6 linked regions of the Coturnix japonica genome follow. The protein of the gene in region 2 interacts with the protein of the main gene of each other region in a biochemical or structural test. Links are inferred from orthologs where the notes say so. Each region holds a gene or a part of one and is shown on either strand. Other genes may lie near its edges.

Region 1 (3,614 bases), on a different chromosome or scaffold from region 2:
TAAAAAGCTGTCAGAATGTTGATAATCACTGTTTCAACCTATTAGTTTGCATAAAATGTGTTAATGATGGTGCAATCAGTCGAACCATTTGAGTGGATTGGTAACCATATCTGCATACAGAAGTGTTGAATTTAATTTTATTTAATTGAATTTTATTTATGGTGACTGTACCTTTACAGCTACTCATGCAAAAAACAGAAGAAGGAGTGGGGAGGACATTTTGACGTAGACTGCTCAGCTACTGTAGCAACTTGCTGACAAACATGCTGTATCACCATTTTGCATTCGTATTAATATGTTACTTGGTTGTGACTTCTCACACAGGGGTATATTGGCTATTGCTTGGAGTATGGCAGATTCAGAGCTGCTACTAAGCTGTGGGAAGGATGCCAAAATACTGTGTTCAAACCCTAACACGGGCGAGGTACTGTATGCACATCACTTACTAAAAACTGTTTGGAGGTGTCATGGTGTTATGTAAAGCAGCAATTTAAGAGCAGTTGATCTGTTTTCAAGCACTTTCACTAATTTTTGCAATATGGACTTCTTGCTTGTTGTGTGGGCAAGATCATTCTGCAGACAGGGAGAGATGTGCTGTCAGAATCCAGACTTGGCTGCAGAAGTGTAAGGCAAAAGGTGGGATAGCAGGTGTGTGATCCAAGCTGGATTCTGAGCTGGGGAGCTCTACGTTTGGGTGACTCATACTGCATAGTTTGATGTAAAATAAAAACCTTTTCCTGGGAGACAGTGATGCAGTTACTGCTTGGCCCCCTCAGCAAAACTTTAGTAGACAAGCAAAGAACAAATCCTTTCTTTGAGATTAAATGTCTCTTGTAGTGGTAAACTTGTCTGTTCTGGGCCAGGAGAAACTCCTGGGAGCAGCATAGGTTTTAACTCTCCCAGTTGTCCCCCAGAACATACTGCCTTTGGAGCCTGGGTGTGTTCCCATGTTTTGTGGATGAGTTACCACGAGTTCCAGCAGCTCGTCACAATGCACAGAGCCAAGTCAGTAGCTGCACGTGCAGCACAGAAATACACTGCCTGCTTAGCTGACCATATGTGGAATAAACAGAAAAGTCAATGGGAATAGGAGATAAAGCAGTGGTGTGTGGTGCTGGATTGTCACGTCCTCATTGTTAGTGTGTATGGGTGATGTGGGGGCTGCTGGGGAGCAAGAAGAGCAGCTTCGTCTCTGGGCACACAGGAAAGTTGCTGTTGCTGCTCATGGTATTTCATATTCACTCTGATGTACCGGACTTGTTTCTGCTGCCCAGGTTCTCTATGAGTTGCCCACAAACATGCAGTGGTGCTTTGACATCCAATGGTGTCCCAGAAATCCTGCCATCCTCTCTGCAGCTGCATTCGATGGACGGATCAGCATTTACTCTATCATGGGAGGCAGCACGGACGGGTTGAGGCAGAAGCACGTTGACCAGGTACTGAGAAGCATGAAGCTAAGAAAATGGTTAGAAAGGGGATAAAGCATGGGTTTGTGGGTAGCCTTTGGAGGGTGTCCCAACTGTGTGCTTGCAGGAGTACTAATCTGCTGTAGAAAAAAGAAACAGTTCAGTTTATTGGAGATGATGTCTCACTCTAGGTTTTGTGGGTTTTTTCCACACCTTTTTATTTTCAAAGCTTTCATCCTCATTTGGGAACCTTGACCCATTTGGGACAGGACAGCCTCTCCCACCCCTGCAGCTTCCCCAGCAGACTGCACCACAGAGCGTCGTTCTGCCCCTAAAGAAACCCCCCAAATGGATCCGGCGACCTGTGGGAGCATCGTTCTCTGTGAGTAGGGACCGTGTCTGGGCACAGCTGGCCAGGCAGGAGGGAGATACAGGTAGTGGTGGCACCTGCAAAGCACATCTGAAACAGGGGAATTTGTCATTGTGTTCCACATCATGAGAGTGTGCCCTGTTTGCTGGGGTGACAGGAGATGCTCAAAACAGCATCTGGACTGGGCATTTGGGACAGCATGCCAGCAAAAGCATGACAAAAATGCTTGGAGAAAGAAATGGGGAGGCATTGTGTTGCCCAGAGGCACTTCTTTCTGTTTTGGAATTGAGGGCTTTGCTTTTACTTGTGTAGTGTTTGCTTTGAATAAACAAATGTATTATTGGAAGGGACAAGTTGGGCAACTAGCTGAGATTTCAGTCCAGTTTGTAGGCATTATATGGCTCAGCGTGGAGAAAGATAACTAGGTATGCTCTGATGGAAGGTAGCAGGAGCCCCTGAAACAGCACACAGGCCTGGGCTCCTCTCTCATTGTAGGAGTTGCAGAGAAGCTGTATGACAGGCAGGCAAGGCCCTGCTTTTCATGAGAGCAGGGTCATTTGCTCTTCAGCTACCACCAGTGCCTTGCTTTCTGGACTCTGAGGCTGTTTCCCAAGAGAATTAATGAAGATTTTTAGGCAGACAGTCTACTTGAAATGGATTGCTGTGCCAAAGTACTGCCTTTGTTTTTATCAGTGTGTCTGCTTATTCGTCATCTCATCCACAAATTAAATGCAGCTTTTCTCCTCTCAAGTAGAAGCAATATTGCCTAGCCACTGATTGATGTGTCATTTTATAACAGTTTATTTCCTTGTCCTGGTTTTCCAATTTGTCAGCCTCTTTCTTGGCCATAGTTTTTGTAATGCTCACTTTGGTCTGGCCTGTGTCAGTTGACTTTAAGCTATAAAATGAAATCGTATTCTAGGCACCATTTAATGTTGTTTTTTTTTTTCCTTTCCTTTCTGTTGGTTTTATTTCTTTCTAAATTTCAATTCAATTCACTGCCGAAATTGTTTGAATTTGTAAACAGGCTGCTGTAAGTAGGGTACACATGATACTTGAGCATCTATTTAATGATGCATAGGGTTTTTTAGTGTGTTGTGGGCTAACCCTAGTAAGCCCCTGAACCTCGTTTACCTGCCCACTGGCTCTCTTACAGTTGGATTAGGTACAGAATCAGAAGGATAAAAGTGAGAAAACTCATTAATTGAGATAAAGCCGGTTTAAATAGATAAAGCAAAAGCTGCATGTGGAAGCAAAGGAGGAAGGAATACGTTCACCCCTTCCTACTGGCATGCAGATGTTTAAGCATTGAAGAAGCAGGGCTTCATCATGCATAGTGGGTATTTGGTAAGAGAAATGCCATAACTCAAGATGTCCCCCCATTTCCTCCACTCCTTGCTGGAGGGGGAGCTTGAGACACAGAATACTCTGATGTGGTGTAACTGTCATGTAGCAACAGTTAAAACAGGGGTGTGGTGTCAACGCTATTTCAATCACCAGTCCAAAACATAGCACTGCATGGGCTGCAGTGAACAAAATTAACTGCTGCCACACCTTGTACAGCACTGTCATAGCACCAGATACTCACAGACCCATTTCTCAGGTCTCACACACACTTATCCAGCGAGCTGCTTTATTGCATGGGAATGTGGGGTGGTGATACAAGCTGATATTTGTTTGCTGAATGATCATTTATGTATCAAATGAAAACATGTGCGTGTGTTATGTATGCATAGTTTTTTCACACATATCCAAGTGCGTACTTGCATTTTTACATGCTCTGCTTGTGTCTTTATTCCAGTTTGGAGGCAAGCTGGTTACATTTGAGAATGCCAAGC
Region 2 (3,614 bases):
CCCCAGGGAGGTCACCACTTCCCAGCTGTCGATGATGGGATCGTAGCACTCAATGCTGCTCAGCAGTGAGTTGCCATCGTACCTGAAGGGACAGAAAGTCACAGCTGAGGGGTGCTGCCACAGAGAGGGGTTGAGATGCTCAGAGTCCTCCCAAGTAGTCTTGATGTGCATTCAAGAGGCTGAATGCAACGCAGCCATGGGTTGTGTCACTTGGAGTCACTCGCCCCTCTTGCTGACACACAGAGCACCTTCCCCTCCAGCCCATGGCCATCTCTTACCCAGCGATTGCATACAGCCTTCCCCGCAGCACGGTGGCCCCCACGTAGCAGCGGGGGGTGGTCATGCTGGTTACAGTGGTCCAGGAATCAGTGCGGATGTTGTAGGCTTCCACAGAGGAGAGATGCGCCGTCCCATCGAACCCACCAACAACATAAATGTGGTCGTTCAGCAGAGCAACTCCGGCACCTGCAGGGAGAGGACACAGGAGTGCTGACAGTGCTGTGCCTAGTGCTGTAACTCTAACCCTGCCAACTTCTGCTCAATTTCCAGTGAGGGGGAGCGAGCAGCTGCAGCCAGGGCAGCAGGAGCAGCATGAGGTACTCAGCCTGCAGCCAGCCTGACAGCTGTGCCTGTAAGAGCTGCTGTGCTCAGCTGCCCCAGTAAGAGCAGTAATGCTGTTGGCCGAAACTGGCTACACAGTGGCTCAAGTTGTCAGCGTAATGCTGTCCTAACAGTGCTGCTCTCTGCTGTCCTGGATGCCCAGGAGCTGAGCCCCAGTGCTTGCCTGAACACCCCTCACTGACTGGGCCCTGCAGCTAACAAGTGCTGCCTTCACACGCTGTCCCATCACATTACATACGTTAACTGTGTTGCCTGCTCCTCACCAGTTCCTAATTAGGGCAGTCACAGACTTCCTCTCCCCACAGCCCATAAAGTCACACTCACACTCCTTTATGGATCCTCCTCCTGGGGAGCTAAACCAGCACACAAGCTCCTACCTGAGCGCTTAGTGGCCATCGGTGTGACGTTCGTCCAGTGTCCCGTGTGGGGATCGTACCTCTCCACAGAATTCAGTATGTTCAGCCCATCATAGCCGCCTGAAACACAAGAGAGGAGCAAACTGTGCGCCATCCCAGCGAAGCATGGCACAGCTTCCAGGGTCTGCTTCAGGATCTGCATGTTGCTGCCTGCGGGCACCTACCGAGGCAGTAGATAACTCCGTTGGCTACAACGAGCCCCGCTCCTTCCCGTGCTGTCTGCATGTCTCCCAGCATACTCCACTGGTCAATGTTTGGGTCGTAGCGTTCCATGCTGGTGTGGCGTCGGCTCCCATCAAACCCACCAGAAACATAAATCATATCTGCAACGACAGAGCAGGGGTGGGCTGAGCACAACGAGCACCGAATGTGCACGTGGAGCACAAAGGCCTTCATAGACACAGCAAACCTACAATGTGGACTGCAAAATACAGCAACCACAGCAGAACTTGGCATGTTTGAACCTGAGAGAAATGCAGACTGCTCACCCTCACGGTATCAGCCTGCCTGCAGATCAACCAACCAAGCCCAGAACCCAGCCAGCCCTTCCAGCTGCTTATCCACCATGAGAGCTCCTCCTCCACAGCCCCTCCTTGAGCTCCCATTGCTCAGAGCACAGTGGCACAAAGAATGGAGACACAGCAGAGGTGGTTTCCATTGTTGTAGCCAAGCAAAGAGCTCCAACGATCTGCCCCAGGATGCACCTCCCAGGGTTGTGGCTCCTGCCAGCCCGCGCCGCACGTTCATGGGTGCTACGGAGTACCAGATCCCATCCTCATCTGATGTGTAATCCAAGCACTCCACGGAGCTGAGGCGGGAGCGGCCGTCGTAGCCCCCGATGACATAGATCCGGTCATGCAGGGACACAGTCGCGACGTAACGCCTCTTACGGGTGATGCTCTGAAATGAGGAAGGAAAACAAAGGGTCAAGGAGAAGAAACAACCCCCCGTGTGTGCAGAACAACTGCTGTTCTATCCCATTTTTGCTGCTTTGTTGGAAGAGGCACCTCAAGGCAGAGGCAGATGACAGTGTGGATTTCAGCAATCCATCTCTGGCTGAAATGCACCAGGACTGCATCTGCTTTCTGCAGCTTCTGCTGCCCGGGTCTCTTTGAATGCACAATACTTTTGTACAATGTCAGCTTATCTCCTGTCACTGCTGAATCCCTGGCACATCCTGGAGGTGTGCATGCCTCCCACCGCTCCCTGTCAATAGGGAAACGTGGAGGCTACAGAGATCTGCTGGATGCAGCTGAAGCTTTTGGCCTCCCAAAAAAAGAACTGAATTTTGGGAGAGAAAGCAATGTAAGTTCCCTGTGATTAGCAGTAACAAAGGCCTGCGCTGCTTCCTACTGGTACAGCTGCTTCTAAGATCGCACTGCAGAAGTTATCTCTAAATAAATCCCTTCCCACTCAGACCCAACGTGAGCAGGGATCACGCAGCCTGCTGTGCTCACAGCAGCACTGACCCCAGTGCTCCCACTGACACCCCAGATGCCACCTCCAAACTTCACAGCTCAACGCCCCTTGAAGACAAAACATGCTGCCCTTCAGCTCTCACTCCCACAGCACAGATGCAGCCTCTGCAGGTTCAGCCCAGCAAATAAGGCAGCAACCTCTCCCACAAAGCTTTACAAGCAAAGTGATTCCAGCGTTTACTGCATACACCTCCACAACCCAAATGAACTGAGGACAGCCCAGGGAAGGTTATGTGGCCAGTAGCACACGATCGATGTTTGATGTCAGCGTGCCTGTTCTGCTCAATGATGGTCAGAAAAGGTCCCTTACAGGCAAGAAACTCCACTCGTGGGTCTTCGGGTCGTACTTCTCCACAACATCTATGGGTGACTGCTGGCTGCCAAAGCCGCCGATCACAAGCAAGACTTCATTTGCTCCTGCAGCAAAGAGGGAGAGCAAAGCCACATCAGCTGGTGTGCAACCATGGGCGCAGAGCTGAGCCCTGTGGGCATCATGCAGCACAGCCACTGCAGTCCATCCAGGAAGTGAACAGGCAACACGAGGGCGTGTGCTGAGAGTGCTCCTGACAGCAGTGCTATCAAATTGTTATACAAAAGAAGGCAGAATGCAGAAGGTGGACCTTAGAAGCAAAGCGCACAATTTTCACCTGGATAATGATGTGAATTTGTGACATTCCCTTTATCAGCTGAGGCATTTCGACCCAGAACAGAGCACAATGCCTCTCTGTAAATGGTGGCTTGAGCTGAAGTGGATGTCCCTGAGCACTGATGTGGGGTGTTCCTGGAAAAACAGGAGCTGTGCTGTGGGTGGACTATGTTGGAGGTCGAAGCACACCGCACTGCCTTCAGGACAGAAATTACTCACCATGCCTCTCAACAAACCAACCTGCCCACCTCCCAGCTGCCCTTCACCCTCCCACGTTCCCCATTCCATCTTCCCTCCAGTGCTGCCATCTCTCACCTCACCCTGTGAATTTCTGACACTGATAACCACCTTTTAGAAACTCTGCCCACACTCCTGGGACGGCTGCATGCTCAGACAAACCCATCTGGGAGCACCAACACAGGAGCAGGGCAACCAGCTACTCCCTGTGCTGCC
Region 3 (3,034 bases), on a different chromosome or scaffold from region 2:
TACTGTCACTGGTGGATGAGTACATCCAATGCTTTGGTTACGGTCTGAATTTTGTTTTTATTGCATTTTCTGATTAAGGAGGTTCTGAAGAGCATGAGTGGGACAGCAATCCTAAATGAAGATGTGTCGGTATGACTCACGTGTGATTAAAGTTCTCTAGAAGCTTCTCATCAGGGCCCTGGCATCTGGGGGAGCCAACCCCTATAACACAGCGAAGACTGCAGTGTAATTGTCGTGGCAACATCCTGTGTTTATGTGTTGATGATAAACTGATGAAGCAATCATTACCCTCAGTCGAAGAAAATCTCAAGACCTCCCAGCAAGTCTTCTTTATTTCTAAGCAAACAAATTACCCCTTGGAAAGCAACAGCCCTGCACGAAAATCATTAGACAGAAGATTGCCATTCTGTGCAACATCCCGCCGTCTTGTGGGGTTTCTTGATGTCTGCGTCAAGCACCAAGTGTTACACCTGCAGTATCCAAGCTGCAACCACTGCACTCACCTGTAACTCCTCACAGTGGAGACAGAGGGCTGAGAACCACCGTCTTGGAGCTGCCATTTTGAAACCATGTTTCCCTCCTCCCCAACAAAGACAGCAGACCTTAGGCAGAAATAGATCTTTAATGAGCTATACAAAAAGTGATCCTGGTCATTCCCTCCAGTTCCAGTGAGCTCAGCAGAAGAGGTGCAAGACTTTGCGGAAGAAGTTCCTGAACTCGGCGTTGAAAACAGTGTAAATGATGGGGTTGACGGCACTGTTGACGTAACCCAGCCAGGTGACGGTGCTGGTGACTTGAGTGGGAATGGTGCAGGACTTGCAGAGAGCCCTCGTAATGTGGACCACAAAAAAAGGCGTCCAGCAGAAGAGGAAAGCACCTGGCAGGAGGAGATTAAAGACAGAAGGTATTGTATTGAAAAGGGTTGGGGTTAACAAGTGCAGAGCTACCATCCCTCCATGACATAAGATTTTGGGCAACTTCCTAAATGCTGGTGAAGAAAAGATGTGAGCTGTGTGTCATTTTTGGATTAGCATTTAAAACATCAGGAGTCACAAATGCTGACAGCTGAAGTGAAGGTTGAATTAAAAACACCCAGGAGTGATGCTACTCTGGATCAAAGGGAAACCGAGGCACTCAATGGACCGGGCTCAACAGAATCCTGAACCCTATAAGAACACACAGCACATTTCCCACCCTCCTTGACCAGCCTCTTCCACCGGCCACTCACCAACAACCACAGGCAGTACCCTCATGGCCTTTCGTTCCCGGCCGTTGATCTTGGCCCGCTTCTGACTGAGCGCTGGGTGTGGGTACTTGAGGTGTGGGTAGGAGACAGTCTGGAGCCCATTGCTCATCACATAGTCCCCAGGAAGGGGGTGCTCAGGGTGGCCGTAATGGTGGTACTCCTCCGGCCCCAAGCCAACCCGCTCTCTCTCAATGAAGGGCGAAGGGGGATAGAGCATTCTGTTGCCCCCGTAGATGCCACCCCTTAGCTTGGCCTTCCTGGCTTCTTCCCAGCGCTTGAGTCCTTGGAACATGGCGCAGTAGAGCACCAGCATGACGGGGCAAGGGATGAAGAAGGAACAGATGGAGGAGTACACGATGTAGTTGTCATCCTCCAGCTGGCACAAGCTGGGGTCTCGGTTCGGGACATTGTTGAGGCCGAATATGACTGGGGATGCCACAGCAAAGGCAAATATCCACGTGGTGGAGATGAGGATCAGCTGCCGCAGGTCGATCTGTCGCCGGTTGTAGTTCAGCGGGACTGAAACAGCGATAAACCTGCCAACACAAGTGGGTCAGTGCTCAGGTTGGGGTAGTACAACTGGAAGCAGCTTGATGCTGAGACATGATCCCTCTCCTACGGCATAAGGAGGAAGAAGGGCACTTACCGATCCACGCTGATAGCACAGAGGTTGAAAATGGAAGCTGTGCACAGCATCACATCCATCGTCATCAGGGCATCGCAGAGCACAGTGCTGAGGGACCACACACCCCCCTGAAACTGAAGGACAAGATCCCTGGGTCAGTGGGTGCCTTTGACATGCAGGGAAACAGCTCTGTATACATGTGTATAATATGCCCCTCCACTTGGGTGTCCAGTGACCTGTGTGGAAACCTTGAGGTTTTTGACATTCATGGTCCTCCCCATTCACATCTGCAGGAGCAGGCAGCTCTGCATGGATTAGTATCGGTCAGTCCTGATGTCACACACAGGATTATGATTAGTGGAGCTGCAAAGCCAAAGGAGACTCTGGAGAAACTGGTGGGTTATTTTTATATCCCCATCCCCTTGAGAGGCCCCATGAGCTTCCAGAAGAGCGCTGGAGTCAGACCTGGGTGTTTAATTCGGGCTTTTCTCTAGGGTAAATCAGCTGCTCCAAGCAGAACATGGGAGCTGAATCCTGAAACAACCCTCACGTTTTGTTACCCAAGCTTCATTAGGAACCTGACCAGCTTTGCTGGACAAAACCTGACTCGGCTGTGGTGTTCAAAACCCATTTGTGGCTTCAAGGAATGGATGTGTTCTGAGCAGGCCCTGAGCTGCCAAGCTGCAGCACCCCCAAAGGACACAGCCTTCGCCATGGGCTCACGTTGGGTGCCCAGAATCACTCTGCTTGGAGGAGTGACTTTGGATTAGAGGCAGAGCTGGCTTTGTTTGGTCATGTGGCTGAGCGGTACCTCATTCCAGCAGGTTGCAGAAGATTAGCCCATCAAGGTACACACTGTAAAGCTTTAGGGATCACAAACAGCTCAAGCCGCCTTTAACAAGCGCTCCAGAACAACTCCAATTAGTTTTTCCCCCACATTCTTTGCTTTTTTAGCATAAGACCCTCCACTGTTTTCTTTTCCAGTAGTGCTGGATGTGGCACCAGCAACAACCTTGAAGTATCCTGAACAAGAAGCCGACTGCTTCTGCATCTGCTCTGTTGGAGAGAAACACCTTCCCCAGCCTGCAGAGGTTCAGCCTAAGAGTGCAGAGCTGCTAAAAGAGTTTCTTCTTTTCCATAATCTCTTACACGGATCTTAGTGG
Region 4 (3,614 bases), on a different chromosome or scaffold from region 2:
TACATCAGCAAGACATTCCTCAGATATTAGTTACGTTAAATATTAACACATACTCTATTCCTGGCTGCTTACTAATTATCAAAACAGAATAGTTCATACCTTGTAGGTGAAATATTCAGAAAAGACACGGTATTTAAACAACACAGAAACAAAAGTCAACAGACCAAGTTGTAATATCTAATTTCTCTCCCCAGAATTTTCAGCATGTACTTCTTAACCAGGAAAAGATAAGTAGGAAATGACTCCCATAGTGGTTTAATATTTGTTGGTTTTTGTTGTTTTATGTTAAAGAAACACACCAAAACACAAAGACCACAACCAGAAAAAAAGTAATTTTCAGTGTTAAGGGTAAATCAAAGAAAAATGTTTTTTTCTAAAAAAACCTACTTTGAGAAAAGCAGTATTTCACAGAATTTTCACTCCCACATCTCAACTGCCTAATGAAACACTAATTCTTAAAGCTTTCTTTTTTTTAACAACATCTATAAACTGACTCAGCAGCTCAGACCCATTAAAAGTATAGTTTGATAAACATTACTTCAAAGATAACACTAGCTTAATTAGCACACCCTCTCTCAAAACCTCTAAAAGGCTGCAGCTGAACGTTACTCAGATGCCCTCAAGGCACGTATCTCCAAGAGTTAAATATCAGTCTGCAGGGGCTTCCCTGTTTGATTCATACAGAATCCCTGAGATCTGAAGACCCCATTAACTGTGTCTTTTCTACAACAATCTTCTGCTTTTAAAAGTAGTCATGAATTTATCAGTCCATCCACTATTAGCTGAATAGATCAGACAATTAGAGGTCAATGGTGAAATTTGCATGGTCTGGCTTCACACATCTGATTTAGTTCTTGTTTTGATACTTATATCATAAAAGTACACTTAAGTAGTTAAGTACACCTATCTCTGTTGTCATTCTACTGTAGTTCTCCATCTCCTTAGTTATGTGAATAAAACTGTTAGCAACAGCTATATTTACATACTTAAGACAGATTGTAACCTGTGGCATACTGGCAAACACAAGGGGAGAGAAATAAAATATGCCGTCTTAAATACTTGTATGTGGAACTTTTCAGTCTATGTCAAAAGGAATTTCTTACCTCCTTTACATTGCTCCACAATACATACAAACCAGACATTATCCTTTCAGGCGAGCCAACAACTGGTTAGGGAACTACACTGAAACTAGCTGAGGCAAGCTGCCCAGTTACAAGCACTGCTTTGACAGGAAAAGTAGCCAAGCAAGTTTTCCTGCAGCGCACCTTTCATCAGATCACACCCACAGAGATGGCTACAGCTAGATAATTCTTCCCTACCAGTCTTAATCAGCATTCCCATGCCAGAAGGAAAGGCTGATGCCATTTTGTACTCAGTGTTAAAGAGTAAACAAGTATTGTGTCACAATATGACAGTCTACTACAGATGATGAGCTTCCAGACTGAACATCTTAGACAACTTTTTCCAGTATACTCCACTATTATTTGAACTAAGGCAAAATGCCAGTAAATACACAAGAATGTAGCCAACTGGAGAGTCTTGGGTTCAAAACTATAATTCCCAAAGTCTTTTAAAACACTGCATCTTCCTGTTGGCTGTACACCAGATGCCTACTGTATCTGCAGACTATAAAACGTCTCAAAAGGAACTACGTTAAATTAAAATTGACAATTTGTCTTTGAACTCCCTAATTCTAAACAAGGTGGTTTTTACTAGATTTTCCTGCCCTGGGGAAAACAGCAAAAGGAACAAAGGCAGAAATTCCAACACAACTTAATCAAATGACCTGCTGAACACAGTTGAAGTTAACCACTTCGCTCCTTAACAATGCTATTTTCCATGAGTTTATCAGTAACAGTGGTATAAATAATTTTGCCGTAACATCATTTCCAATGGACATACTGCAAGAAACCTTGGAGTTTTAGACCAAAAGCAACAGTATCAAGTTAAGCTATAAGCAGGGACAAACAGATTGGAAAAATTAGACGGTACCTACTATAAAGCTACTTCTATAGAAAAACAAAATCACCCAGGCAGAGAAATACTAACACACAGTTAAGAGAAACATATAGACATTACACATCAGTAAAAGATGGCACACTCAGTACCAGCATGCATGGGGAAATTGCCATTTCATTGGGCACTAAATAGGAGCAGACTTGAGATTAACACGTACCTTCTGCCTGCTGATTCCCCTGCGGTTCGCTCTCTCTTGATTCTGGATGCTCTGTTTCCGATTGCAATTCTGAAAGTTGCTTTTTCTCAAACTTGAAATCTGGAAGCCGAGGAGCCCGAGGCCTCGTTTTTCTTGCAGGATTCAGGAAAAAGCAGTAGGCACACCTAAATGCTGCACAAAAGCACATCCAGTAAATAGCCCCACTAACTGATTTCACATCTCACCTTACTCCTGCACAATATCTTGACTGTCCAAAATACTATAAAGAGAATTAAATGACTATCAACATCAAAGCTTATTCTCATCAAATTTATACAAAGTGTTCTATTTAGTTTTGGTTTTTGTTGGGTTTTTTTTTCCCTTTCAGCACACATTTACTTATTAAATACCTGTTTGCTTTCAGCTCTGCTGCGCTTCTGCAAGGATATTTTTGCCCATAATTGTGAAATATGTACTGAAAATTCAGTACCAGGAGTTGTTGTCACATGCTGTTCTATTCTTTCCTGCAAAAGACCTAAACCAGCAGATTACTTTTTCCTTAAGATGCCAATGTTCTCGTCTTTCAAGTAAAGGGATGCTGTGGACTCTAACGCATTCCCTCACTATCTGCTCTTAGAGGAGCATTCAGTTCCAGTGTTGCTTAATTAAGAAAATGCAATTTTCTTCTGAAGTTCTGTATACCACATAACAGCTAAACACATATTTTCACCAAGACATGAGTGGAGGGAAATGGTCATCTCTTGCACAATAGAGCTGCAAACACACTTGAGCTGGGATGACATACAGACTAAATATATTCAGACTCAAAGGAAACTTCCATCTTATTCCTTTACAGTGCTGTATATTTTCTCACAAAATTAAGAGAAACAAGATTAAATAGACTTATCTACCATTCTCCCATTTTTCAAACATCAGGCTTACACTTGTGGTAGAAAGAAGGCAAAATAAAACATCTGTGTTCAATAATGAGCTGTGTCTGTCTTAAGTTATTGTCTGCTATAAATTCACATATAGCCTCCCAGGGCTTGTTCCCACTCCTTTTTCGATGTCTCCCCAAGATCTTCTTACCAAAGTAAAGTTTTAAGTTCTGGTAAAAGAGGAATACTTCAATGTCAGATCGTTTCTCAACACAAAACCCACCTGAGAACCATTCCAAGTCAGTACCAATTCTCAGGGATGTATTGGAGGAGGTTTATTTCTACTGAATACTTTTCTGCACTCAACCCCTGGCCTGGAGGTTGCAGAGAAGTACTTCTTTAAATCTTAAAGTGAATCTTTAGACACAGAGTAGCAAGCTACCATAAAACTGTTCCCATACGCAGTGGCATTTAACAGTGTCAGTTGAGTATTTAACAGCAGTCAAAATGAAGCATCACATGCATTTGTTATGAAACACAAGCCAACTACTACAGTCTACTACAGGTGTTTCCTTACCTAC
Region 5 (4,122 bases), on a different chromosome or scaffold from region 2:
TTAACAAAGCTGCTTTGAAGTAACTGTGGTCTTGATGACTTCTGACCAATGCTCTAATAATGTTGCACAGAAACCCAACATTTTTCAGTCTGCATAAAAAAACACCCCAAAACATAAACTAAAATCCAGCCGAGAACCAAAGCCTTAGAAGAACCAAGAATGGTTGTCAGGAGTCTTTTGCCCATTTCTCATTAATAAAACTAAAAATCTGACTGCTCCCTATTCTACAGATGGGTTACTCCAGGACACTGAAAAGAACAGGTTCTTAACATCACAAGAGGCACACAATGCGATTTCAAGCTGAGTTTTGTATAAATCCCCTCCCCATGCTGAATTGAAAGCATTGTTTAAATGAGTGTGTTTTCAGGCCAAGAAATGTTAGTGCTTGGGCAGGCCTGAGCACAGCCGTGTGTAGAGGAGCTTTGGGCTTCTGTCAGCAGCTGCTACTGAATGTGGAAAGGCTCCTCACTTTGGGCCAGTTTTTACTGGGTTGGAATCACTCCAGAGTTCTAAAGAGCAGAGTTATATTATTTCATGTCAAAGAAAGACATGACAACAGACTAATACAGATTCCATACAGAGAAACCACAGCAACTCTGGTGCTGAAGAACTGTACTGATTTCAGCTTGCAGGTAGCCAGCAGCAGCCTACCTCCTCCTCCCCTGACACAACAAATACCTCAGCATGTCAGCACAGGAGAGAAAAAAGAAACAAAAGGCAAGAAGGCAGCACAGTATTTTACTGTGCAAACAACTCTGTTGTGTGGTCTCCCATCCTTCCCAGATACATGTACTACTACAGCCATAAATTTGGCACGTTGAAAAGCTGATCTTCAAGAACGCATTGAGCTTCAATATACAGTGAGAGCAGTGAATACTTGCTTAGTGTTCTCGAAAGAAACACGTTACGTTCTTTTGGCCCACATTGGACTGTGACACACAACCACCCACAGAGGATGTATTCTAGAAAAAAAAAACAACTCCACCATCCCGAATGACCAGCAGGAAGGAAAATGTGACGACTGGAAAGAAGCGTTCAGTTTTCATTTGGCTACCCAGAGCTATTTGACCACGCCCCAGTTACGAGTCAAGCGAGGTCTGAAGTACAGCTTTCTACTTGGTTAGGAAAAGAAAGTGGAGAACAAATTGCCTCATTTACAAATAAGAAATTAGCACCTTCACTTCCTGCACTGTACTGAATGAAGGGCTCTTACATGCAGGAAAAAGGCTGGCTGTAAACATCTGACCTTTGCTCTGGTTCAAAAGGGAAGGTGCAGCAGAGGTGGGCAAGGAGTAAAACGTCAAGACCAGAAGAGTCGAGTAGCCAGACTGGCATGGAATGTAGCACGAAGTTCACAAGGGGCCTCCTTCCCCCTTCACAGACTCACCATTGGACAGTGCCTGCTGAAGCTCCGTGTCTGAGATCACTCCACTCCTGTCTTTATCAACCCTGGAGGAGGGGAGAAGAAGTGGCGTGCCTTGAGGTGCTGAAGTGAACAGAATTTAGCTACAACCCTCAGCATTTCCGTCCCTACCAAATAAATCAGTCACGGGCGTGGGGCAGCACAGGGCTTTGCTCACAGAGCCACCCCAGGCCCCGCTACCAAACCCTGCCATGTAATCCTAGCAGAATTACAACCTGCTTATCTTGCTCCTGACCATCAGTCAGCACGGAGCACATTCATTTGATATACAAAACGACATGAATCCTCCTCACAGCCATCGGGTATCTACTCTGGAATTCATCTACCCGTGATACAGCAATCAGGATCCAACCGTGAAGGTGACACAGCCCGGTCACTCAGTACAGCAAGGTGCTCCTGCCAAGCCTTCACACTGCAGGAATCCGCCATGACACCTGGAGTGCACGTTTGTGCTTTGTTAGTAGAAAAAGGAACAGATGCCTTATAAAAGTCCAAACATTAAGTCCATGTAACCAGAAGCTGAAGCTCGTGCTTCAGCTGATCATTCACCCTCTGTTCCCACAGATGCTCTTGAACATATTGAATGAAGATCCCAGAACTGCTGCATCAATCAGTGTGACAGAATTTCCCTTTCAGCCAGTTATTTACCCGCTGAAGGACTTTCATTCTGTGCCTGCCAGATTTCTCTAAAGCTCCTCGATGCTTATGGCTGAAAGCTTCTTTGGAAACTATCTGAACTACACCAACTGTAGCAGCCTTATCCATATCAATAAGCAATCCCCACACATACTTCCGTCAAGTTCCCAGATAAAGTGCTTTTACACAAGGGTGGTGGACAAATGTCACCTCTCTGAGTCACTGCTGTGTTCTGCCAGGCAGTTACTGTTACTCATTGCTGATCCAAACCTCGCACGGTTTGTGTTGGAAGGGCCCTCAGAGCCCACCCATCCCCACCCTGTGCCATGTGCAGGGCTGTCCCCAGCAGCTCAGCTGCCCAGGGCCCCATCCAACCTGGCCTTGAGCACCTCCAGGGATGGGGCACCTCCCCGATTCCCATTTGGCAGACGCCTTCAGGTCACCTCCTTGCCCTACCCCGCCTCCCCAAGCGCTCCTTGCAGCTCTCCCTTAGATTCCCGCTGCGGGGACACAGCCGCAGAGCTCGGCCGATGCCCGGGGCCCATTAGAGGCATCCAGCCTCCTCCCAAGGCCCGATCGCTCCCCGTGCCAGCTGTGCGGGCAGCCCCGAGCCCCCGCGGCCTCACCTCTGGAAGACGTTCCACAGGAAGGAGGGGTCGGGCAGCCCCATCCCGTGAGGCGCCGCCATCACGGCCGCCCCAGCTCCGACAGCGCGACTCTCCTTCCGCTTCCTGGGGCGGGGCGAGCGGGGCGGGGGTGATGTCAGCAGGCAGCGCCAAGCGGGGAAGCACCATGGCGACAAGAAGCCGGTGCTTCCTAAGGCCGTGCGGGCCCGGCCTGGAACCCGCGGCTTCCCTGGACTGTCTATGTAAAATCAGCTTTTACATAGAGTCATAAGGTTGGAAAGGACCTACAGGATCACCTAGTCCAGCCGCCCTCCCATTACCATACCTACAGCAAAGCACTAAACCATATCTCGTAGCTCCTCATCCAGATGCCTCTCGAACACTGACAGGGATGGTGACTCCACCACCTCCCTATGCAGCCATTCCAGTGTCTGACCACTGTCTGAGAGATAAAGCTCCTTCTTATATCCAATCTAAACCTCATCTGGTACAACTTGCGGCCATTTACTCGGGTCCTGTTTGTTGCCTGGCAGAAGAGGCCAAGCCCCTCCTCATCACAACCTCCCTTCAGGAAGTTATAGAGAGCAATAATGTCTCCCCTGAGCCTCCTCTTCTCCAGGCTGAACAATCCCAGCTCCCTCAGCCGCCCCTCATAAGGCCTGTGCTCCAGACCTTTCACTATGTAAAAGTTCATCCCCCCCCTCAGCCAAAACACAGCACACACAGCAGAACATGGCCATGGTCCAGCATTTTATTGAACAAGTGATGATTCGTGTGCTCTTTTTAGTGAATCCACAAAGACATATTGTACCTCATGCTGTTTTTAGCTATTTATTTATTCCCTCTACAGTCCCGTGGCCAGGAAGCTGGCTCCATAATTAAGGTTTTTGCCATAAACTATTTTACACCCAAGTAATTACATACACCAAGTTTAACGTGGGAGTGGAATGGGGACATTAATGTACACCCAATGCTGTGCCATGGGACGATGACTCTAGGACAGCAATATACACCCAGCACTGCCACAGCCGTGTTATTTTCAGTGTAAGTATCTTTATACATTTGCAATGCCACATTTCACGACTCAAAATGTATTTGCTGACAGCAGCATCAGCACCTGTAGAAATCTCATTATATTCCACATCTTCAGAAAGAAACAGATCTAGTGTGCATCGAATGTTACTTGAAATAGCACTGCCAAACTTGCCCTCTAATACTTCACACCCATCAATCCCACACCAGTGGGATCCCACACATGAACAGAGCTGTCCATTACTTAAGTAGTTTCGGCACAGTTAGAGTAGGAACTGTAATTTCTTTAAAAATTGGCACGTAGTTTGGGTTGGGTTGGCTTGGCCCTTGATCCAAAGTCTCGATGATAGTCTGCTTCATATCTCTGCTGGCATCTCCCCTCACCGTCAGCAAAGCCGCAATGTG
Region 6 (4,281 bases), on a different chromosome or scaffold from region 2:
ACGTAGCACAAAGTTTTCCAAGCATCTCCATTTCATGCTTACAAACACTGGGAAGGAAGGGCTGGCTGCTCTGCCTTACCAGCCAGCAGGAAGGAGCTCAACAGCTCTGCTAGAAGCCAGGCACTGGTCTCTGTCCAGAGCTGCAAACATCCCAGCACCAGGAGCAACAAACAAGCATGTGACAAAAACACCAGCAGCACTGCTTTGAGAAAACTTCAGTCCTAGAGCAGAACAAGGATTCAGGGAGATCTAACCCTGAGCCTAAGGCTCCATCTGTCCTGCCCCAGGAGCTTGGCTTTGCATGGGAATGAGGGGAAATGATCTGCACAGTCAGGAGTAGTGAAACAGCACAACCAGATGTGCTTGCACAGTACTTGCCTGCAAAGTATATGTAAACCACTGCAAGCTGTAATGGGGGGCTGCTTCCAGAGAGGCATGAGAGCGGCATGACAAAGTCACACTATTAAAAGAACAAGTTTATGATCATGCTAGACTGCCATTTTTGATAATGTGAAACTGGACACGTGCTGAAGAGACTACAGAAGCCATACAACTGATGAGAAGAAGTCATTAAGGTGTACTTATGCCAGTCTGATCTCAAGTTGTAACAGCCCAATACCAAGGATAACACGAGGAGTCACCTGCGGCACTGAGAGACGTGGTTTAGCAGGCATGGTGGTGATGGGTTTGTGGTTAGACTAGATGATCTTAAAGGTCCCTTCCAACCCTAATGATTCTATGATCTTAAATTAACAGTGACAAAGAAATGGATCCTTTATTTTAGTAAAACTGTGAGGCAGAGTTTTGATCACAGAAGAGATTAAGACAGATATGGCAGTTTGTGATTTCTTAAATATCTGCCACGGGGGAATTTGGGCAGTGAATCTACTGAAAAAATAAAAAAAAATGTTGCATGCCATTACAACATAACTAAGACAGGAATGCATATTTCCAAAACAAAACAAACCACTGCCAACAACAAAAAACAAGCACAGACTTAATTTTATGTGGAAGACCAATAGCAGAATGTCAGTGTTTGTGGACAAGAGATCAGAAATCACTTTCAGTGCTGGGGTTGCACAACCAGAGTTTACAGAGAGAACGGATCTGGTCACAGACAGGAAGAGCCATCTGTCACACTGCTCTGTTAACACACTGCTTCAAGTTCAGCCATCTAACCCCAAAGAAAACTTCTGTAGTACTCCAAGTCCAACTGGTTCCAGTCTGAAGGAACCCTGACAACAAACTTTGGAAAACACTGCAGACTCCAGCTCCAGCAATGGTTCTCACCTGGTCTAAGGCTCAGCTGAAGAACAGTGTGTAGAATGATAGACCGAGCAGCCTGAACTATAAGTTACTCTAGAAAGCAAACAGTAATCAAGGAACCAAAGCACAGCAGAAGGGAGAGGAAGCAAAGCAAGACCCGGCATATACAAAGCAATGGGCTGTTAAAGAACAGAGCTCAGAAGTGCTACAAGAATTCATTATGACTGGAAGCACAGTAAAACCAAGACGAACTCAGAACACAGCCTGGAAGAAGCTGTATGCCCCTCAGCACAGCCTGCTCGTACCGCTCTGACTCGCACAGAACGAGCGGAGCTCACCGGCTGCCCGCCTGCTCCCGAACAGCCGACCCGGAGAGCACCACGCGTGCGAGGTGCGCTACAAAGTCATGCAACAGGCTGAAGTCGAAGTGCTTCCGAGGCAGCGCACCGCGACTGCCTCCGCTTCAACTTCAGAGCTCACGCCGCACAGGGTAAGGGACCAAGGCCGCTCCTCCCGTACCTCAGCCGGGCCGGGCCAGCAGTTCGGGCAGGAGCACGACCGCGCGTGTCCGAGGAGCGGCCGCAGGTGAGGGGGCTGAGCCGCGACCCCCGGGGCAAGGCGGGCGGCTGCAGCCCCACCCGGGCCTACCGGCCCCGCGGCCCTGAAGGCAGCCCCGGCCCGGCGACCCACCTTGAGCAGGATGGAGGGCGGCAGCTGGTTGATGTCGGGCGGCGACGACGGTTCCCGGCAGCCGTCCCCGGGGTGCTCCAAAGGCTCCTCGCCGCTCCGCTCCTTCACTCCCTCCTTCTCGTCTCCGGAGGGAGGGGGCGGCGGCGATACCGACCGGTCCCCTCCGTCTCCGCTCCCGGCGGGGCACCTCGGCGGCGCGGTCCCGCCGCTCCCCGCCCCGTCGGCGGCCGAGGGCAAGGCGCAGGGCTGCGGCTCCGCGGGGCACTGGCAGGCAGCAGCTTCGGGGTCCGCCGCGCCGGCGGCGCAGCGCGGCTGCTTGCAGGGGGTGCAGGCGGGCAGGCCGGCCCCCTTGCGCTTGCACACCATCTCGGAGACGGCCTCGCCAGGCGGCCCGGCCGGCCCCAGGAGGCCTCGCACCGGCGAGGGCAGCAGGCCCGAGAGGAGGAGGCGCCGGCAGCGGCCGCGCGGCTCCCAGGCGGCGGGCGGCAGGCGGAGGAGGCGGCGCGCGGCGCGCTGCTCGGCGGCGGCGTGGGACGCGTAGGGCGGCGGCAGCAGCGGGTCCCCGGCGGGCAGGGGCGGTTCCGGGGCGGACGAGCTGGCGCCGTGCACGATGAAGCAGAGCATGCAGGGCCCGCGCAGGAAGCAGCTCCGGCTGCGCGGCGGCACCTTCCTCCCGCGGCGGCGACGGCGGCCGCCGCTGTCCCGGCTCAGGCTGCTGGCCTCCTTGGAGAGCAGGTGGCCCATATAGGAGGCGGCGGCGAAAGGGCCCGCGGGGCGTCACCTGCGGGCGGCGGCCGCTGTCATGCTGCCGGCGGGGGCGGCAGGTGGCGGCGCCGGGGGCGGCGGGGCTGGTTCCGGGACGCGGAGCCGGGAGGGAGACGCTTCCGCTACCGCCGCCCTGACCTTCCCCGCGGGACGCGAGGAGGCGGCGCTGCGGAGGGGCCGCCGCCGCCGCCCGGTGGTGCTGCCGCCAGCGGCCGGGCCGGGAGCCGCCGCCGGAGAGACGGCCGGGAAGGGCCTGGAGGCCCGGCGGCCTCACTCGGGTGGAGACGGGGCCGCCCCATCACGCGCGGTGCGGGTGCGCTCAGGTAGAGCGAGGGTGCGGGGCTTGCGAGCGCGGCGTCTGTAGGTACGAGCGTGCGGACGGGGAGCCGCGGTACAGGAGCGCGGCGGCCGCGCTGAGGATGCTCCGGGCCCCGCTCTGCTCCCGGGGGCGTGCGGCTGCGGTGTGCGGAGCGAGGCAGAAATAAATCGATTGGTCAGAGCCGGTGGGGAAGCGGACAGGAGTGAAGGCGAGGCGTTTGCGATGGCCGAGTAACGCAAGCTGAGGGACTGATGGAAGCGTTCTGCTTCCGAAGCCACGTCTTCTCTAGCAATGCCTTCTTCACAGCTACACGCTCCGGCGAATCCCGTTTCCTGCTGTCTTGAATCGCTGCTGACCAGCACCTTTGCCCCTGTGTTACAGTTGCTCAGAGTGTGTACATCTTTGCAAATATAAACCGCAGTGCCGTAATTAGTACTGTCCACAGCAAACTTATTTTGCGTGTTTCAGGATTCGGTTCTAAATTATTGACGTAAAATGACTCGCATGTATAGGTTTAAATATATGAGGGACACTGCCTTTAGTAGAAGGTGTTTGGGGAGGGAGGAGACCAGCTGTAACTAGGATATATAAGGTACAGTATTGCTACTTAAAAATGAAGGGCCAGAGCAGAAGTGCACAGTGCCAGGTACTGTGGACAAAATCTTTGGGCCTGTTGCCCAGGAAAATGTTGTGTGAGGGTTAAAATACCTGTGACACTATTTTCCTTTGATTCCTCTTTATCAACCATTCAGTAAAAATAGGTTTGCTGAGAAGAATACTAATACATTATGTGATAAAAGTAGCATAATGTAATATTTTATCTGAGTTTTTAACTCACTGACACCCATCAATATAAACTGCAGCAGGTTCTGGCAAAAAAATTGGCAGGTCTATTCATCTCTCAGATTTACATTCTTTATTTTTATAAGAACAAATTCAGCTTGTAAAGGCAGTTAAAGCCAAGCACTCAAACTGAACAACATTCAGGAGAAATGCTTACAGTATCAAATATTCCAAACTAATCAGCTATGTCTGTGCAACTTCTAAAGAGTCACCGTGGCCTTGTCCTTACTCACATGATCACATAACTGCAGTACTTTTGGCAAAGGTGACTGACTTCTCTATGTTGCTTTTACATCTTACAGTCCGATATTGTCCCATGATTTTGAACTATATACATACAATATACATATACATATACATATAACTCACGTAGGGAGTTCTTCCTATTTCCAAAATAT

The links.
Region 1: of the proteins of KLHL12 (region 2) and SEC31A, one has a biochemical effect on the other in vitro, tested with the Homo sapiens proteins (3 studies listed by BioGRID, with this or other methods). The link is inferred for Coturnix japonica from reciprocal best matches to the Homo sapiens genes KLHL12 and SEC31A.
Region 3: of the proteins of KLHL12 (region 2) and DRD4, one has a biochemical effect on the other in vitro, tested with the Homo sapiens proteins (2 studies listed by BioGRID, with this or other methods). The link is inferred for Coturnix japonica from reciprocal best matches to the Homo sapiens genes KLHL12 and DRD4.
Region 4: the proteins of KLHL12 (region 2) and LNPK form a complex in vitro, tested with the Homo sapiens proteins (2 studies listed by BioGRID, with this or other methods). The link is inferred for Coturnix japonica from reciprocal best matches to the Homo sapiens genes KLHL12 and LNPK.
Region 5: the proteins of KLHL12 (region 2) and PDCD6 form a complex in vitro, tested with the Homo sapiens proteins (2 studies listed by BioGRID). The link is inferred for Coturnix japonica from reciprocal best matches to the Homo sapiens genes KLHL12 and PDCD6.
Region 6: the proteins of KLHL12 (region 2) and FBXL17 form a complex in vitro, tested with the Homo sapiens proteins (3 studies listed by BioGRID, with this or other methods). The link is inferred for Coturnix japonica from reciprocal best matches to the Homo sapiens genes KLHL12 and FBXL17.

What each region holds. Positions count from the first base shown.
Region 1 is NC_029519.1:41,246,254-41,249,867, forward strand, and holds part of SEC31A (protein transport protein Sec31A), read left to right. Parts: intron 1-324; coding exon 325-424; intron 425-1,274; coding exon 1,275-1,436; intron 1,437-1,635; coding exon 1,636-1,788; intron 1,789-3,577; coding exon 3,578-3,614. UniProt on the Homo sapiens protein: Component of the coat protein complex II (COPII) which promotes the formation of transport vesicles from the endoplasmic reticulum (ER).
Region 2 is NC_029541.1:903,457-907,070, reverse strand, and holds part of KLHL12 (kelch-like protein 12), read right to left. Parts: intron 2,933-3,614; coding exon 2,826-2,932; intron 1,938-2,825; coding exon 1,742-1,937; intron 1,361-1,741; coding exon 1,202-1,360; intron 1,098-1,201; coding exon 999-1,097; intron 466-998; coding exon 279-465; intron 83-278; coding exon 1-82. UniProt on the Homo sapiens protein: Substrate-specific adapter of a BCR (BTB-CUL3-RBX1) E3 ubiquitin ligase complex that acts as a negative regulator of Wnt signaling pathway and ER-Golgi transport.
Region 3 is NC_029520.1:661,125-664,158, forward strand, and holds the end of DRD4 (D(4) dopamine receptor), read right to left. Parts: intron 2,006-3,034; coding exon 1,893-2,005; intron 1,783-1,892; coding exon 1,229-1,782; intron 878-1,228; coding exon 675-877; 3' UTR 604-674; downstream 1-603. UniProt on the Homo sapiens protein: Dopamine receptor responsible for neuronal signaling in the mesolimbic system of the brain, an area of the brain that regulates emotion and complex behavior.
Region 4 is NC_029522.1:14,609,025-14,612,638, reverse strand, and holds part of LNPK (endoplasmic reticulum junction formation protein lunapark), read right to left. Parts: coding exon 3,611-3,614; intron 2,348-3,610; coding exon 2,177-2,347; intron 1-2,176. UniProt on the Homo sapiens protein: Endoplasmic reticulum (ER)-shaping membrane protein that plays a role in determining ER morphology. Involved in the stabilization of nascent three-way ER tubular junctions within the ER network.
Region 5 is NC_029517.1:80,102,798-80,106,919, reverse strand, and holds the start of PDCD6 (programmed cell death protein 6), read right to left. Parts: upstream 2,817-4,122; 5' UTR 2,748-2,816; coding exon 2,686-2,747; intron 1,450-2,685; coding exon 1,388-1,449; intron 1-1,387. Other genes in the region: EXOC3 (exocyst complex component 3), read right to left, coding at 3,958-4,122. UniProt on the Homo sapiens protein: Calcium sensor that plays a key role in processes such as endoplasmic reticulum (ER)-Golgi vesicular transport, endosomal biogenesis or membrane repair.
Region 6 is NC_029547.1:42,393,966-42,398,246, reverse strand, and holds the start of FBXL17 (F-box/LRR-repeat protein 17), read right to left. Parts: upstream 2,803-4,281; 5' UTR 2,701-2,802; coding exon 1,957-2,700; intron 1-1,956. UniProt on the Homo sapiens protein: Substrate-recognition component of the SCF(FBXL17) E3 ubiquitin ligase complex, a key component of a quality control pathway required to ensure functional dimerization of BTB domain-containing proteins (dimerization quality control, DQC).